3 linked regions of the Cricetulus griseus genome follow. The main gene of each other region encodes a partner of the protein of the gene in region 3 in a complex. Links are inferred from orthologs where the notes say so. Each region holds a gene or a part of one and is shown on either strand. Other genes may lie near its edges.

Evidence for each region. The genes of interacting proteins can lie anywhere in the genome.
Region 1: Plrg1 (region 3) and Ctnnbl1 share a complex: the UniProt entries of both Homo sapiens proteins name them as parts of the PRP19-CDC5L splicing complex. The link is inferred for Cricetulus griseus from reciprocal best matches to the Homo sapiens genes PLRG1 and CTNNBL1.
Region 2: Plrg1 (region 3) and Cwc15 share a complex: the UniProt entries of both Homo sapiens proteins name them as parts of the PRP19-CDC5L splicing complex. The link is inferred for Cricetulus griseus from reciprocal best matches to the Homo sapiens genes PLRG1 and CWC15.

Annotation. Positions count from the first base shown.
Region 1 is NC_048599.1:21,837,972-21,843,993, forward strand, and holds the start of Ctnnbl1 (beta-catenin-like protein 1), read right to left. Parts: upstream 3,474-6,022; 5' UTR 3,327-3,473; coding exon 3,297-3,326; intron 1-3,296. UniProt on the Homo sapiens protein: Component of the PRP19-CDC5L complex that forms an integral part of the spliceosome and is required for activating pre-mRNA splicing.
Region 2 is NC_048597.1:127,973,757-127,979,794, reverse strand, and holds the start of Cwc15 (spliceosome-associated protein CWC15 homolog), read right to left. Parts: upstream 3,474-6,038; 5' UTR 3,334-3,473; exon of another isoform or gene 3,202-3,333; intron 1,880-3,201; 5' UTR 1,872-1,879; coding exon 1,741-1,871; intron 1,206-1,740; coding exon 1,093-1,205; intron 548-1,092; coding exon 459-547; intron 1-458. UniProt on the Homo sapiens protein: Involved in pre-mRNA splicing as component of the spliceosome. Component of the PRP19-CDC5L complex that forms an integral part of the spliceosome and is required for activating pre-mRNA splicing.
Region 3 is NW_023276806.1:71,272,687-71,277,311, reverse strand, and holds part of Plrg1 (pleiotropic regulator 1), read left to right. Parts: intron 1-761; coding exon 762-911; intron 912-1,096; coding exon 1,097-1,198; intron 1,199-1,894; coding exon 1,895-1,997; intron 1,998-2,953; coding exon 2,954-3,062; intron 3,063-3,907; coding exon 3,908-4,047; intron 4,048-4,492; coding exon 4,493-4,625. UniProt on the Homo sapiens protein: Involved in pre-mRNA splicing as component of the spliceosome. Component of the PRP19-CDC5L complex that forms an integral part of the spliceosome and is required for activating pre-mRNA splicing.

The DNA.
Region 1 (6,022 bases), on a different chromosome or scaffold from region 3:
AGCATACCATAAACCAGGTGTTTTGTGCACACCTGTAATCCCAGCATTTGGGGGGTGGTGCAGGAGGGTAAAAAATCCAAGGTCATCCCTGACTACATAGTGAGTTTGAGGACAGCCTGGTCTACATAAGATCCTGACCAAAAAAAAGGGGGCAGGAAGGAAATTCCTCATAGATCTATTTAGTGAGGATGCAGGTAAATAATTATTTCATGTTAGGTTATCACTGTCTTCTAAGCATTTTCACTTCCATAAGCTCATCTGGTCCTCAAGATTTCCCACAGGAGGATGGCTGTGTTTGACTGATTACAAACTAGACTCCAGGCACCACTGTCTTTTCAAGAGAGGAATGGAGGTAGACCCTGCTCAAAGGAACAGAGCTGCAAATACAAGACCAAGATTCTGGTGACATGTCAGCCACTGCTTTGGCCTGTCAGTCACCACCTTGGCCTGTGACTTCAGCTATGTCTGCCTATCAGACCAGAGTTCTTGTTCAAAACAAGTGGGTTGAATGAAGACATCCGTATCGCCTCTCAAAATGCAAAGGCTTTCTCCTGGCCCACAGAAAGTCCTACAAAGACTGTCCTCTGTCTACATCTCCAGCTTCATCACCTTCTGGTATCCGGCTCTCATACCAAGTTCTGGCTACATGGCTCTTATCTCTGCTCACCTAATAGGCCTGGAGCCTATGCTCATAGCTGCTGTTCCTGCCTTCAACATTCTGCTCTATCATGACCGACTCCTTCTCAACCTTCAGAGCACTAACGCTGGTTTGTCGCACTCCCTCCCTGACCACTCAGTCCACAGAGGCCCTGAAAGGGGTGATTTACAGCAGTGCTGTCCAAAAAAACAGAATGAAAGTCACAAAAAAAAACTTTATATGTAAGTTGAAATTTTGAAGTAAGCACAAAATTTAAGTTTAATAACCTATTTCCCTTAATCCATTATATCAATGCAATCTACATAAAAATTAAGATACTTCATTTTCATTTTTTCATAGCTTTTTTTGTTTGTTTTTCCAGAAAGGGTTTCTCTGTGGCTTTGGAGGCTGTCCTGGAACTAGCTCTTGTAGACCAGGCTGGTCTCGAACTCACAGAGATCCGCCTGCCTCTGCCTTCGGAGTGCTGGGATCAAAGGCATGTGACACCACCGCCCGGCTCCTTTTTCATAGCTTTGAAGCCCAGTGTGTGCATTACACATATTGAAGGGGCTGGATGCAGATGGGCCACACTTGGTGTCCAACAGTTATGTGCCTAGCAGGCCTCAAACCATGCTCACATTTTCACAGCGGATTCTGCTATCCTCCCTTCACAACACTCCCAGAAATCTCAATTTCTTGTTTACTTAATGTCCTTTGGAGACTCCCCCCACCCCATATTTGCCTTTCATACAAAAGTAAAAGCCTTGTCTCATTTATGCCACATGATATGCTCAGTGGACCCAGTACCTTGTACATAGTGGATGTTGAATAAATATCTGTAACCAAAGAATGGAACTTTTCTGGCAGTACCGCTCAGATCGGAGTCAATGGACTCCACTAGCCAGCCCATAACTCCCAAATAAGTACTCATCAGTGACTTGCCCACTACTGTTCTTATTCCATCATCAAATACACTGTCTTTTTGTTTGTTTTCTCTGTGTAGTCCTGGCTGTCCTAGAACTCGTTCTGTAGACCCAGCTAGCCTCCAACTCAGAGATCCTCCTGCCTCTGCCTCCTTAGCACTGGGAGGAGCACTTAGCAAAGGTGTGTGCTACCACCACCCAGCTACGCTGTCATTTTGTTTTTTCCTTTTTGGTTTTTCAAGACAGGGTTTCTCAGTACTGCTTTGGAGCCTGTCCTGGAACTCACCCTGTAGACCAGGCTGGCTTCAAACTCACAGAAATCCGACTGCCTCTGCCTCCTGAGTGCTGGGATTAAAGGCGTGCACAACCAACCACCGGCACTACATTTTAAAGAGAAAAATATTATGGTCTCACATCTTCTGGTTGCTTAGAAATTCTTTCTATTTATGTCTGGAGTCTCTGTCTCTGGGGCCAGTCTTTTATATATTGACTAAGGGAAATAACCATCAATATTACTACTTATGGGCTGCTTTACTAAGCAACAAACATTGGTCTAACAATTTAATAGCTTCCCAACAGACCAAGAGGTCGGCATCATGAGGTATTTTGTTCAAAGTTATAACAATCAGTAAGAAAAAGGAGATTGCAAGCAACCTGGGGCTCCAAATTCAGGTCTTATGTTTGGGGAGTGGGGTCTCACTATGTAGCCCTGGCTGACCTAGAAGTCACCTCCTGCCTCTACCTCCCAGCTTTCAGGCGCTGAGACTAAAGGCATTCGGCAGCAGCAACTCAAGTTCACCTTATTATTGCCTATCCTTGACTTCGGAGCTATTGCTAGTAGCCACACTTTTAAAAAGTCAACACAAATGGGTATGGCTTCAATTATATTTTACTTCACCCATTACCCCGTAGGATGATTCAATTAATATGACCAATGATCAAGATTCGTGTAATCAATATAAAAATACTACCTTTTTCATTTGGTCTTTAAAATCCAGTGTAATTTATAATTACAGTACTTCCTAATTCAAACTAATTACAGTTCACAGGTTCCAACACTATTGAGACTAGCAAATGCGAGGCCTTAGGCAGTCAAAAGAGGGCAGAAAGTTTGAATTTCGAGCCTGAACCCTTGAGTTCCAATTAATCCTAGTTTGTAATTGTCTAGTGACCTCAGGCAAGTCCTTTCTTCCTTCTAGGCCACAGGTTCACCAGTACCCTGAGCAAGGAGGTCAAGAAGTCTCTTACCGACCCCATCCCATGCTCCATTTTCCATCTTAATTGCGGGTACATCAGCAAAGGTTTCAAATGGCCTTTCACATATATCCATGTAATATACTTAAATAAACAAACAAACTGAGGCTCAGCGACAGGGTAAAGACTCATCCAAAGCTACACCGGCAGTTGGTAGAGAAACTGAGGCTCAACCCGGAGGAAAAAGCAGTGCTCTCCACACCTGCCTCAAGCCCTACGAATTGGTAGAAACGAGACCAAAGATGAGCAGAAGGGAACCAGGCTTCCGGGTAGGAAAGGGAGATCAAAGGGAACAGGCCTGGAGAAGGAAGAAATCGAAAGGGTCCGCGAGGGCTTCGGCAAGCCAAGTGCAATGACAGGCTAGAACCCCGGGTAGCATGAGAAGTGAGGGCCAGAGACCCAGAGGAGGCGAGATGACGGGACTCTGGCCCTGCGACCCCGGCGGGGATGAGGGGCCCTCCGGCCCTGCCAACTTCACTTACCTGGTAGCTTAAAAGTTCGCCCACGTCCATGGTTCCAGACCCAATCAGCACAGGGTGCCCTGGTTACCTCCACTCACTCCGGAACCACCGGTGGCTCAGCGGCTTTTCCTGCCACACTGCCGTAAAGCGCCCGGAGAGGGGCCTCAGAACCAATAGAGTAAGAGAGCGCGAGGCCGGCGGGACCGCCACACTGCCGTGAAAGGAAGTGCGACCATAAAGCGCGCCGCGCTTTGACTCTGCAGCTTCCGCCGGGATCCTGAAGGGGCGGGAAAGGGGGCGGATACTTAGGTAAAGGATCCTAACCTAAGTGGAGGGCACAGGGCAGGGCGGGTGTGCACACCCTTACTAGGCTTCCAGATAAAGAAACAGGTTTGGAATACGCTAAAATTGCATATGCGGATTTTTTTTCCTTTTTCTTTCTTTTCCTTTTTGGTTTTTCAAAACAGGGTTTCTCTTTATTATTGGTTTGGAGGCTGTCCTGGAACTCGCTCTCGTAGACCAGACTGGCCTCGAGCTCACAGAGACCCTCCTGCCTCTGACTCCCGAGTGCTGGGGTTGAAGGCGTGCGCCACCACCGCCCGGCCTGCTTATGCGGGCTTTGTTTTGGGGTGCCTTCATGCGTCCACGGGTTAGTGTTGGCTCACGAAATGGCACCTGGCCATAGATTATTATTGGCTGAGAAACCGTTGATATCACATTTGCCTCTGAGCTTCTGTCTATTCGTCTACCCAATGGCAATGGCATGATCTCCTATCTACCCAAGTAGTATTGAAAAGGCTAATGGGGGTCTGGAGAGACGGCTCAGCGATGTAGGAGCATTTACTGCACCCCCAACAAGGACAGCTCACAATTGCCTGAAACTCTAGTTCTAGAGGATCTGATGCTTTCTTCTGGCCTCGGTGAACACCCAGCAGCATACATGTGTGCAAATACACACATACACCCACATTCTTATAAAAAGAGGTTTCTGGGAAAGAAATCTGCCCATTATTGAAAGGGTTAAAGAGTTTGTCTTCAGGGATTACATGAGAGCCCATCCAGAACCCCCCATTCAACTGTAAGGAAATTGTTATTCCGCAGACTGCCAAATCCTCTCCTCGTTACCTTTCTGCTAGCACTTCCTCTGCTGCTCACAGGTCTCAATCTGTCATTTTGTACTTGATGGTTGATGTTTTATTTATTGGCAGCCTCTACTAATTGGACTTCAGACTCTCTGAAAGTTGGGATTGAATGTGTCATCTTCATCTTCATACCATGGACTTTGTAAACTTTGGTAAGGAGGATGGATTTTAGGCTGCCTACGTTGGGAAGCTGTTGAGATGGTTTAAACAGGGATGTTTTCTGACTGGGTTTCTGTTTTTAAAGGGTGGCCTGCGAAAACTGCATTTAACAGAGTTCATTTGCATGCCTTTCCCCTCCCATTCCTATAAGTGTAGACTGTGACCTCAAGGGAGGCAGGACAGAGTAACAGTGAGAGCAAATCCTTTGGGCCATGAACAAAATTGTGTCCTAGTTTGTGCCTTGATTCAGTCAGCTTCGATAGACACCCTTGCAAAAACCCAGAATTCGTTTTCAGAGAATCTTCCAGCAAGTTTACATCAGCTTGGAAACACCCACGACGATGGAGTATTTGTGTCATGAAGATCAACCCATGCTACAAATCACAGCTGTCAGCCATTCTCCCAGAGAGCCAGTTGTTAAACACTCCTACTTCTCTGGCTAGCCAGCTTTCTGCCATAGCTAGACTGGCCAAGTTACTTCCCATGTCCCCAAGTTGCAGTTTTCTCATCTATAACAGGACAAGTAATTAATAATACAATCAACAGATAATTAGTAAGAACCTACTCAGTGCTAGATGCAACTCTTGACTCAGGATGAAGCTCACTTGTGCTTGTATTAGGGAGGGATGTGAGTGTGTGTACATGCAAGTGTGGGCGGGCAAACGCCATGGCTCACGCGTGGAGGTCAGAGGACAGCCTCCGGTGTTGGTACTCACCTGTAGGGAGACACCCTAGCCCCGCCCAGTAGTCCTGGGACAGGTACCAGGTGGACCCGGGACTCGCCCATAAGGGCGTGGTGAAGGAAAGCTGGGGTGACGTAAGGGAGCTTCTTAAGGGCTGCACGTGGAGACCCTGGCTCTTCTTTTCTGGCCGCGCTGGCTGGGTTCCTATAACCTCGCTCTGGCCTGCGTTTTGCCCTGGTGCTTTCTTGAATAAAGAAATCTTACCGTCACGGACTGGGGACTGATTCATCCTTTAGCGTACGCTACAACCTTAATCTTCACTCACCTTCCACCTTGAGACAGTCTCTTTGTTGTTTGCCCCTGTGTAGACAAGACTAAGATGCTCCATTGGCTTCAGGAGAGTCTATTGTCCCCAAGTCCCATCTCAGCACAGAGCAATAGCGTTAGAGATGCATGATGTTGTGCCTGACTTTCCACGGACTTTGGGGATTCAAACTCAGGTCTTCGTGCTTCCAAGGCAAGTGCTTTACACACGGAGCCATCTCATCTCCCCAGAGCTTTGAATAAAACAAGGTCTCTTCCTTCTGGGAACATATGTTCTTGTTGAGAGGGGTGGAATCTCTTGTACAGAAAAGAAATGTAGCTGAGGGCTGACATCCTGGGCCTGTGCATCATGCTGTACAGATGTCAAGTAACATTCCCTGGCTCACAGATTTTGCCTGCACCAGCACGAGAACCTCAGTCCAGCACTCCTGGAGACCTG
Region 2 (6,038 bases), on a different chromosome or scaffold from region 3:
CATTATGTGTCTAAGTAGGACATGGTATCTAAGGAAAAGAAAGTGCAGAACTAGGTAGAATGCTCAAAGGTGCTGTTCATAGGCACTCAGCCTGAGAGTGTCCTGTGGAGTTACAGCAAGGCAGCTTAACCTTCTACATGACTGACAATTCAGTCACAGGTGGGCATGTCCTTTTTCACAGACTGCTTTCATGCAGCCCTCCAAACTAAACCTCTAGTAAAAGATTTGAGGCAGAAGAATACTTTGTTTTAAAAACAATTATTAAGTTTAAAGTTGAGGTAAATGATACATTTCAGTAACAGTAGGTAAAAATAAATACCGATCATTTCACAAAGTCAAAATAAAAAAAAATAAAGAAAATATGACAAGTTGGGCCCAATGGCAGAGGCCCATTTCTAGCACTTAGGAGGTGTTAAAAAGAGAACAACAACAAAAAAGCCAACCCCAAAACTACATACATCTGTGAGAGGATCATCGGCATCAAGGTTGGCAGCTGGAATCTGGTCTAGGCGGGGCTTCTTTGACACTGAAGAGGAAGTTGTATGTTCTGAAGAAAACAAACATTTAGCTTAATGAAACAAATACTGCATTTTAAAATAACATTTTAGAAACTTTTGGGCAAAAAGAATCCACACAAAAAAAACATAGTGACAGCAGGGATTCCCCCAATGGCTGGCAAATAAGCCTTTGATAAATATATGGTAGTAAATATTAAATGAATTAATGAGTTATGAGGATGGCAGCATCTCAGGAAACTTAGCCAATGTTCATACATACTAGAAACACAAGAAGGGTTACTGACGCATCTCAACTACATGGAGGAATGAATAAAATGGGGCAGCTCTGGATAGAAGGCCTGGGTTCCAGCTGCTGTAAAGCCAAAGTCTAACGACAGGTACTGAAATGATGGCTTTGAAACACCATTTCTTCTAATACCAAAGCATGAGAAGATGGAACTGGAATGAACGTCATTATTATCTCTAATCATTTATCAAAGAGGTATAGTACACAAAAACATCATCTCCAATGACCAACACACAAACAATCTCCACCAAATAACTTTGAGACAGACACTAAGAACAGTGTAGGTACCTCGGGTTGGACGGTCCCTATTTTTTTCCCTTGCAGCAGCTCTCTCTCTCTCTTCCAACTCTCTCCTAAAGTCACGGTTACGAACCTCTTCAGGGGCATCCTGTGTAGTTTGTCTTAAGAAGAAAGAAACTGGGTTAAAAATGTTACTCTCACTTGTCAAGGAAAAGAACCTATAAGGCTACAGTAATTTAAGACAATTTAGGATACAACTATCTCTGACCAATAAAATGAAAGAGGACACGATAATAAGGGACACCTGCGATGTTTTCAGTATTACTATTAGAACAAACTAAAGCACACACTCTCCTCCAACATGAAATGTCTGAATGAAATGTCTTTGTTTTTTTAAACTATTAATCAACTCAAGGGCTGTCACAGTAACGCTTCCATATTCACTACAGTTCAGTCTTCTCTGAGGTACTTATCATGAATGAGTGCTTCATCTACACACAGGAATTTCTGGTTGATAGGAATGTCTACTGAAAGAACGTCCAGTAACACTTAAAAACCACAGAGTATAATTTATTGTAAACCCCTTTGAATTCCATTTCTTTGAAGATAGGTAACAAATACAACAATCTAGACACAGTCATAAGTCATGCAGGTTTGGTCCCATTCTGTGAACAAGACAAACCAAGGCCTTATTACCTGTATTTTATCTTTGTATGAGAGGGGAGGTCTCTGCTTGAATACTGCTTTGAAAGCTGGCTCAAATCCCCTTCTCCTTTTCCTCGTCCACCTCTTGCAGGTTCAAAAGTTGGCCTGGCTGCTGTTGTCATCTTTTATTCTTTGACAAAAGTGAGATTAAGTTATATTCGGTAGAACTCTCATCTTAGAAATCATTCATAAATATCTATCCTTATGACTAATTCCCAAAACTCTCCCACAAATTGCTTAAGTAGTTTGTTTTAACACAAATTTCTACAAGTTCAGAATTATGAAACTCAAGTTGCACATGAGATATGTCCTGCCAGGCAGCTCTTAATTAAAAAAAAACAAACAAATAAGCAACAACAACAACAAAAAACCCAAAACTTATTTGAAGATCTGAGTTTGTGCTTTTGTTCTAGCTAAGTAGACTTGGGCAAGTCTCTTAGCTTGTTTTTGTCATCTCTGGAATGCTGATATTTCTGTAGTGTTATTATGACAATTCTGACAAATGATGGCAGATCTCATACAATAGTGTAATGTGGCTTTTAAAAAAAATAACTGTTTTAAAAATTCTTATCTTACTAGCACTAGGTTCTCTTGAATTTGTTTGTTTGTTTTGTTTTGATAGGGTCTTAATATGTAGCTCTGGCTGACCTGGAACCCTCCAGGGATCTACCCAACTCTGCCTCTGGAAAGTTGGAATTAAAGGTGTGGACCACCACGCCTAGCCAAGATCTGCATTTCTATGAGAAACCTCACACAACAGTAAATAAACCGAAAGGAAAAAAAAAATACGCAAACAAAACACCAAGTTTCTTCTAAAGTCACGGATCACTCTCAAACTTTAGTGTCTCAGAGTGAGTTTGTTTAAAACCCAATGACATTCACGCGGGCCACACTACCCAAAACCCAGTTGATGCAATTCTCTTCTCCAACAGTTACCCTAACACGTAGAAAACCTTTGGTACGATGCAACTTTAGCAGTGCTCAGAAAACCGAAACCCCACCCCGAGAAATATCAAGAGCCCATCCCGAACTGGGGTGTACTTCTGGGACCACCCCAGGCGCTCGGAAGGTGAAAGCGGGAGAAGCACGAGTTCGAAGCTAGCCTGGGGCTACACGAGACTGTCGCTACAGCAACAAGAGAACCTTGTGCCACTTTCAACTTGGAGCTGTCACATCAGAATTCCGGCGGACCGACTGGGCTGCTAGGCCTCCGTTAGCGTGAGCAGCGCGCTCAGACAGACCCGGAGGGAAGGAGCTTCGTCCCCATCCCGCCCTGCTGCTCCTCGGTGTCAGCGGCCGGCGCCGCGCCGGTGCCCGCCCGGGGCTCGGCCGAAGCTCCCGACCGCCATGCCGGGCCTGGGGCCCCGGCCGTCCTCCCGGCAGCGATCCCGGCCCCCCGGCGCCACCCTCGCAGGGACCACAAAGCCCCATGCACCCCTGCCGCTCGCTCACTCCGGCGGGGTCCCACGCAGCGCCTTGGGAGGCTCACCCACGAACCATCGCAGCTCCCAGCTCCCAGAAAGCTCCGCGCCGGGGCAGCCAGCCCAAGACCGGAAACAAACCGCTTGGCGTCTAGCTCCTCACCTGGGGGGCTCAGTTAAGACCCGGAAGCAAAAATCTTGGCACTTCCAACGGCCGCGTCGGAAGCTTAAGCTCCACACCCGGAAGCAAACCTGAGGGTTTTTTGTAACCGTTTCTCAGAGGCTGGTGCGCCGACCAATCCGCAGAGACCCTGGAGGAAGTTGGCGTGACGTCGTCGAGGGGCGGAGCCAGGGCGGCCCAGGGGGCGGGTGTTTGAAACCGGTGCTTGGGAGTCGAACCTAAATATCTGTGTTTTTTTGAGAGCCAATTACTTAATCTGTCTTGCGTCTTTTCCTTCCCCGACCCCCTCCCAGACTCCTCCGCTGCGGTGCTGCGAGGACCGAAGGCGCCGGGGAGTCGGCCCCGCGTCGGGCAAGCGTGAGATCTGAGGAGAGCGCGCCCGCTGGCCCAACGGCTCCCGCTCCTCAGTAGACCCCGCAGCCTAGGGACTAGAGTTGTCACTTAAGTGGATGTGAAGAAGGCGCACATAAGTACGGGGGCAGCCACGAGCTTTCCAAAGGTACCATTCCTGCGAAACCACTATCCTCGGAGGCAGGGGTCGTAGTCGCATTGCTTGTTAAGATATAGATACATAGAGATAATATGCATTAAGCCGCGTAGTGTGAGGGGAGAGGCCGTAAGCGTTAACGACAGCCAGCGTTTAGAGAACAGTGGGCTTAACTGCCAGGAGGAGCATGAGCTGCAATTAAGATGGCTTCCTCATCGTTGTCTTGGTGGTGCCCTATCCTTGAGATCTTGGGAGACGATAGATGCTCAGTACGTTCTCCAGTTTGTCCCAAGTGGAAGGACCGCCTAAAATCGAACATTTCGGTGCCTTCCTTTGGAACTTTTTAAATGAAGAAGGAAAATTAGAACAGATTCTTCCCCCCCTCTTCCTCCTTCCCCGTCCCCCCTCTCCCCCCCAAGTGGAAGGTAAAACATTTCTTTTTCTCATGGAAGCTATATACCTCCCTCAACCTCACACAACCTAAGAACACCATCAGATTAGCGGCTCAAGCCCAAGGTCCACCTCTGTCACTCTTCACATCCCGTTCACTTGCCAATCTTGTCCAGTATTGTGAGAATTACCCTGAAGTTCATTTCCCTGTCACCACATTCATTCAGGCTGCTGTCATTTTCCTCTTGTATTTGTAAATTGCTTCCAAATGGACTTTCCTGAGGTTTTGCACAGAATGACGGAGTTAGGGTACTTAGGATAAAACAGCCACTTGTCTTAACTTGATTCTGAGGATTCTTTATAGTCTGTCTCATGCCCACCTTCCTGGCTTCAGTCAGTCATGGGTACACCATGCTCTAGATGCACTCAACAGGACGTCTCTGTTTCTCAGAGCAAGGCAGGGTTCCCTGTTTATTTTGAGTTTTGAGACAAGGTCTTGCTATGTAGCCCAGGCTGGCTTTGAACTGCAAGTTCTATGTATCCTGACTGACCATCCTCAGCCTCCAGAATGCAAGCATACTATCTTCTAGTTTTTAAAGTTTCCCACTGTATTCTTTGCCTATGTCCCCAACACTGCTGTGAGGACATTATTTTCAGGTCTTAGTCACTGCTGCTTCCTCAGTGGGATTTCCCCTGGCATGGATACTGTGTTTCTCCTATGCATAGATTTATAGCCCCCAGTTCTATACTTTCATAATACTGAACACCAGCTAGGTTTACTGTTTGTTTTCATTACCTTTTGCACCTTTTTCTTCTTGGTTGAGCCAAAGTATTGAGAACAAGTATCTGTGACTCTTTTGGCTTTAACTCCAGTTCTGCTCTCCCTCGATGTGTACAGTTGCATAAACCATTTTCCCTTTGATGCCCTCCATTCCTTGTGCAAAATTGGGGGTAATTCTTTCTGGTACTTTAGTGGTTACATAAGTATTTGTAAAGTGCTTAGAACTATCTCAGCAAGCAGACTCGATAAATCAGTATTGGCTGGTACTCATATTATTATTGTCTGTCTAAGGGCAGTAGAACCTGAATTCCAGAAAAACAGGAACCCTGATTATTCACTGGTGTCCTCTGCATATAGAACAGTACTTGGTACATAACAGGTGCTGAGTAAGTACTGGTTGAATGAGTGAATGACATGTTATAAAGGAGGAATGAAATTTCTATGGCAAAATGGTAACAGGAAACTACCCAGTTTTTTTTCATTCCAGCTGCCTTTATCAACCCCTCAATAATCCATTTAAATTTTTATTTTATTAATTAACACTTGATGATTCCATTATAATTTAGCAAAAGAAAATTAGTTCACAAAATTAAAATCATTTGATTAAAATAGTCTGGAAGTATTAATAAGAAAGGGAAAACCAAAAAAGTTTTTTTAACTTTGAGGACTTGCAAATACTAAGAAAATGATACCATAAAGTTTTTGACTTAAACAATGAAAACACTTAGAAAAAAGAAATGAAGTTGGAAAGTCTGTATTAGCTAGTGTTCTCCATAGGAACAGAACTGATAGAATGAATATATATTAAAAGGGGGTTTACCAGATTGGCTTACATGATGCAATATGGGTGTCCACACTGAGTAGTCACACAGTCCACAAGGCTGCATGTCTCAACAGTCTTAAACAATTCCATTCTGGTTCTGAATGCCTGAAGGATTCCTTGAGAGCCACTGGTCTTCATTCTACAGTGGAAGAATGAAGCTGGATTCTGATGTCAACAGAATGGTGACATCACGCAAGGGAGATGAA
Region 3 (4,625 bases):
GGTAGTACTATCACTGGTGGACAGACCCTCAAACGGATTTATTTTCGTATGTCTTTCTATTATTATTATTATTATTATTATTATTATTATTATTATTATTATTGAGTCTTGTTTTTCTCACATAGCATCATCTTGAAGGTCTATTCTTATGAAAAATTCAGGATTTTTAAATGGGTAGAATGTGCATATAATTCTATAAACTGTTCCTTACTGCTCAACATTAAAATTTTTAGTTTGATAATTTTCATTGGAATAAGCTTGCATTTGTTTTACATAGACTGCTTTTTGTATATTGTATTTTTGTTTAGATAGTCTACAAATGTTAGGACAAATGTCTTAGAACTGGTATGGAAAGTGCAAATTTCTTTCCAAAGTTAGTGAGCTGATAGTTGGTCCATCATGCTGACCACATAGCTCGTCAGAGGAGTGCACTTAATGTGAGCACTGGAAATGGACAGACACACAGACATGTAGTGAGGGTGAATATTTTTATCTTTGGTACTTTTCTGGATTAAGTTGCTATTCCCTCAGTATGGATAATGCTGTGTTGTTGGTATTTTCACAATCAGTAGATCTTTTTATGTATTGAGAGTAGTAACCTCGTCCTTGTCACTTTTTGCAAATACTTACCAGTCTGAATGTGCCTTATTTTCCCTCTTATATGGAGAGGCATCATTTTAAAGAGTCTGAGTGTTCTGATTTTGTGTGTGTGTGTGTGGGGGCGGTAACCAACGTAAAGAAAAACAACTATTTGATTTCAGATTTGGGACTTGGCTAGTGGAAAATTAAAGCTGTCATTGACTGGCCACATCAGCACAGTGCGGGGTGTGATCGTAAGCACAAGGAGTCCTTACTTGTTCTCTTGTGGAGAAGACAAACAAGTGAAGTGCTGGGATCTTGAGTATAACAAGGTAAGCTTAGAGCAAAGGTGTTCAAACTGCATGAGCCACAGTTCATTGTGTTTATACTGCACTACTGGGATTGAATCCAGGGCCTTTTGCAAGCCAGACCAACTCTCTGCCTTGGAGCTGTATCCCCAGGCCCCAGTGTTGATCATTCTAATTTTATAACTCGGAACTTCTGCTTTTATCTTCAGGTTATACGGCACTATCATGGCCATCTAAGTGCAGTGTATGGTCTGGATTTGCATCCAACAATTGATGTCCTGGTGACTTGTAGTCGAGATTCAACTGCCCGGGTAAATGAGATGTAGCTGTGTGCTAGTTGTTGGTGTCTGTATCTTCTCATATGCAAACTTGATATTAGCATGTTATTTTCTCATAAAGAACAATAGATTCTTGATTTATCAACAGTCTGGTCTCTTTTAGGATTGGTGCCTTCTCTGTTTGTTCTGTTTGCTGTTGTCAATGTCCTGCCACTGAATTGTGACAGCTTTGTATTCTTGGCCTGTGGTTCCCAACCTGAGGGTCTTGACCCCTTTGAGGGTTGAACAACCTTTTCAGAGGGGTTATAAGACCATTCTGCTTATCAAATATTTACATAATTTACAAAATCATAATTTACAAAAATTATGATTCATAACAGTAGCAAAATTATGGTTATGAAGTAACAACAAATAATTTTATGGTTGGGGTTTACCACAACATGAGAAATTGTTTTAAAGGGTTTCAACATTAGGAAGGTGAGAACCACTGCTCTAGGCCATCACAATGTTTGTTCATTACCAGCTTAATTCTCTTGTCCCATTGTGGGACTAAGCTGATAGGTCAGTATCCTGATCTTTAGACTTCTGTCTTTCCCCATAGCACGTGGATCATTGTCTCCCATTTATGCATTCTCTTCGTTATGTTCAGATACACTGGTGTGGAAAACTTAGAGCTCTCAGGTATAAATATCTATTATTTTTCATAGCATGTTGGTTATATTTTTACAGATCTGGGATGTGAGAACAAAAGCCAGTGTCCACACTTTGTCTGGACACACGAATGCAGTCGCCACTGTAAGGTGCCAAGCTGCAGAACCACAGATAATTACCGGTATGCTAAGCTTCTCCACCCTACTGTCTCTTCATACCAGATGCACTGCCATTCAGCGCTGTAGCTCCTCCAACTCCTGCTTTGTGTTGTGTTCTAGTGTCACTTTGTATTTTAATCATGGCATTTGAAACTTATGTGTTAGGTGTTATGAAAGATGTCTATAAAACTGCCATTAGATAGTCAAGTGTTGCTCTAGAGTGTCATGACTCTCATTCTAGGGAGTTAAAGTTAGAAAATACCCTGCCACCAACATCTTCAGATCTGGTCTTACTTGAGTCTTACTTGAATGACTGGGACTTTACTGTGACAAAACATTCTTTCACTTGGTTTTGTTAATTAGAAATATAAGATGAAATAATTCAGCTTTTCCTTTCCCAGCCACTGGGGGATAAAATTACATGTTTGGTTCATTTGCTATTTATATATTTTGATAGGTTAATCAGGTATTTATTTTTCTTATTTTTAGATTTATTTGTAGAAGTGCTTTGCCTGCATCTGTGTATGTACATTATGTGTGTACCTGGTGCCTACATAGATCAGAAGAGAGTGGCAGATTCTCTGGAACCGGAGTTACAGATGGATGTGCATCACTGTGTGGGTGCTGGGAACCAAACCAGGCTAAGAAGTGCTATTCAACACTGAGCCTTCTCTCTAGTGCCTCAATCAGGCATTTTAAAAAGAACTAGATATAAAGTAAAACTGTAAGGAAAGTATTCACAGTGGTAGGACTTCTACTTAGTGTATGTTTATGTACAGAGGAGTGCTTTGTGTTTACTGTATTCTAACTTGTGGATTCTGTCATTGTCTCTCTGTCGTGTCCGCGCGCGCCCCCCCCCCCCGTGTGTGTGTGTGTGTGTGTGTGTGTGTGTGTGTGTGTGTGTCTCTCTCTCTCTCTCTCTCTCTCTCTCTCTCTCTCTGTACTTGTATTCATGTGTGTGTGTGTGTTTTCGTTACAGGAAGTCACGACACAACAATACGATTGTGGGATCTGGTAGCTGGAAAGACAAGAGTAACATTAACCAATCATAAGAAGTCAGTCAGGGCTGTGGTCTTACATCCACGACAGTAAGTATGTTTTGCTAATTAGCTTTTCTTTCTCCATGCCTTAGTGAACTCCAACATCAGCACTGCTTTTGCAGTCCTGCAGCCTGTGCTGCTTTTGGACAAACTTTCTTTAATTTTCTGTCTGCTGCTATTTTACTTCACGCCCTGTATAGAATGAAGGAGGAAGTCTCTACATAGTGACAAATAAGACTAAGTCATGCTTAAAACTGCATGTTAAAGTAGGAGGTAATAATGGCTGAGTATGTTTTACTTTTTACATGTCATAGATGGTGCCATATATGGTATCTTGTAATGTCTGAGACAGACACAGAATAGTTTAATCCTTTAGGAAGAAGTTAATGTACAGGAGGGGAAGATCGAAGAAGAGCCATTAACATTGCAGTCATGATTGCCAGAGAAGTCAAGCATACAGTCACAAGCTGTTCCTCAGATCCGGCCACCTTTAACTCACCCTCTGCTGGGCCCTTTCCCTCCTTTCTTGTCCCCTCTTCTCCTTCCTTTTATTTTTATTTCTCTTTCACCTTCCCTCTCTTCTCTCCTTTTTCCCCAAAATTATCATAGAGGTTTTTGCCCATTGCATGTGTACGTTGGTTGTGCTAATTTAGTGTAGAAAACCGGAAGAAATGAAAACATTACTCTAGGATTTAAAATGCACTTCTGCAATTTGAAAGACTGGTGGAACTTGGGATGGAGATACTGATTTTGCAACTTGATGGACTTAGCAGTTTACTGAAGCTGTCTGTCTGGGCCAGTAAGCAGACAGTGATTTTTTGAACCTGGGAGATTTTTGTTGTTTGTTTGATGCAATGTACTTTTCCGTTAATTCTTGTCTATCTTTGTTCTAGTTACACATTTGCATCTGGGTCTCCAGATAACATAAAGCAGTGGAAATTCCCTGATGGAGGCTTTATTCAAAATCTCTCTGGTCATAATGCAATTATTAACACGCTGGCGGTCAATGCTGACGGAGTACTTGTATCTGGAGGTAAAGCAAGGTTTTTACGGTGTGTTGAGTTTGCCCTTTTGTCAAAGTGGGTGAGTTACTTTCAGCATTACACCTATGTTGTAGTGGCACTCACTTGACTAGGGTGTATGTACCTATCACAGTGTGTTGATAATCCATGCAGCATGTTGTGTAGTTTAGTACTCTTTGAATTCCCATGTGATAAAGATAGGAATTTATGCTAGGAATTGTCCCATGTTTGGTTGAATTTCAAATGTTATAGAGCCTTTTATGGTCTATAGTTGTGAATTAAACACAAATGAGGAATTTGAGTGTGGTGTGTGTGTGTGTGTGTGTGTGTGTGTGTGTGTGTGTGTGTGTGTGTGTGTGTGTGTGGTGTGTCTTTGTATTGCTGATGTGATGCTTAGATCATGGATCATCTGAGCTGTTGAAGGGATAGAAATCTAACCACAACTTTCTTTCACAGCTGACAATGGCACTATGCACCTTTGGGACTGGAGAACTGGCTACAACTTTCAGCGAGTACACGCAGCTGTACAACCTGGGTCTTTGGATAGCGAATCAGGAATATTTGCTTGTGCTTTCGATCAGTCAGAAAG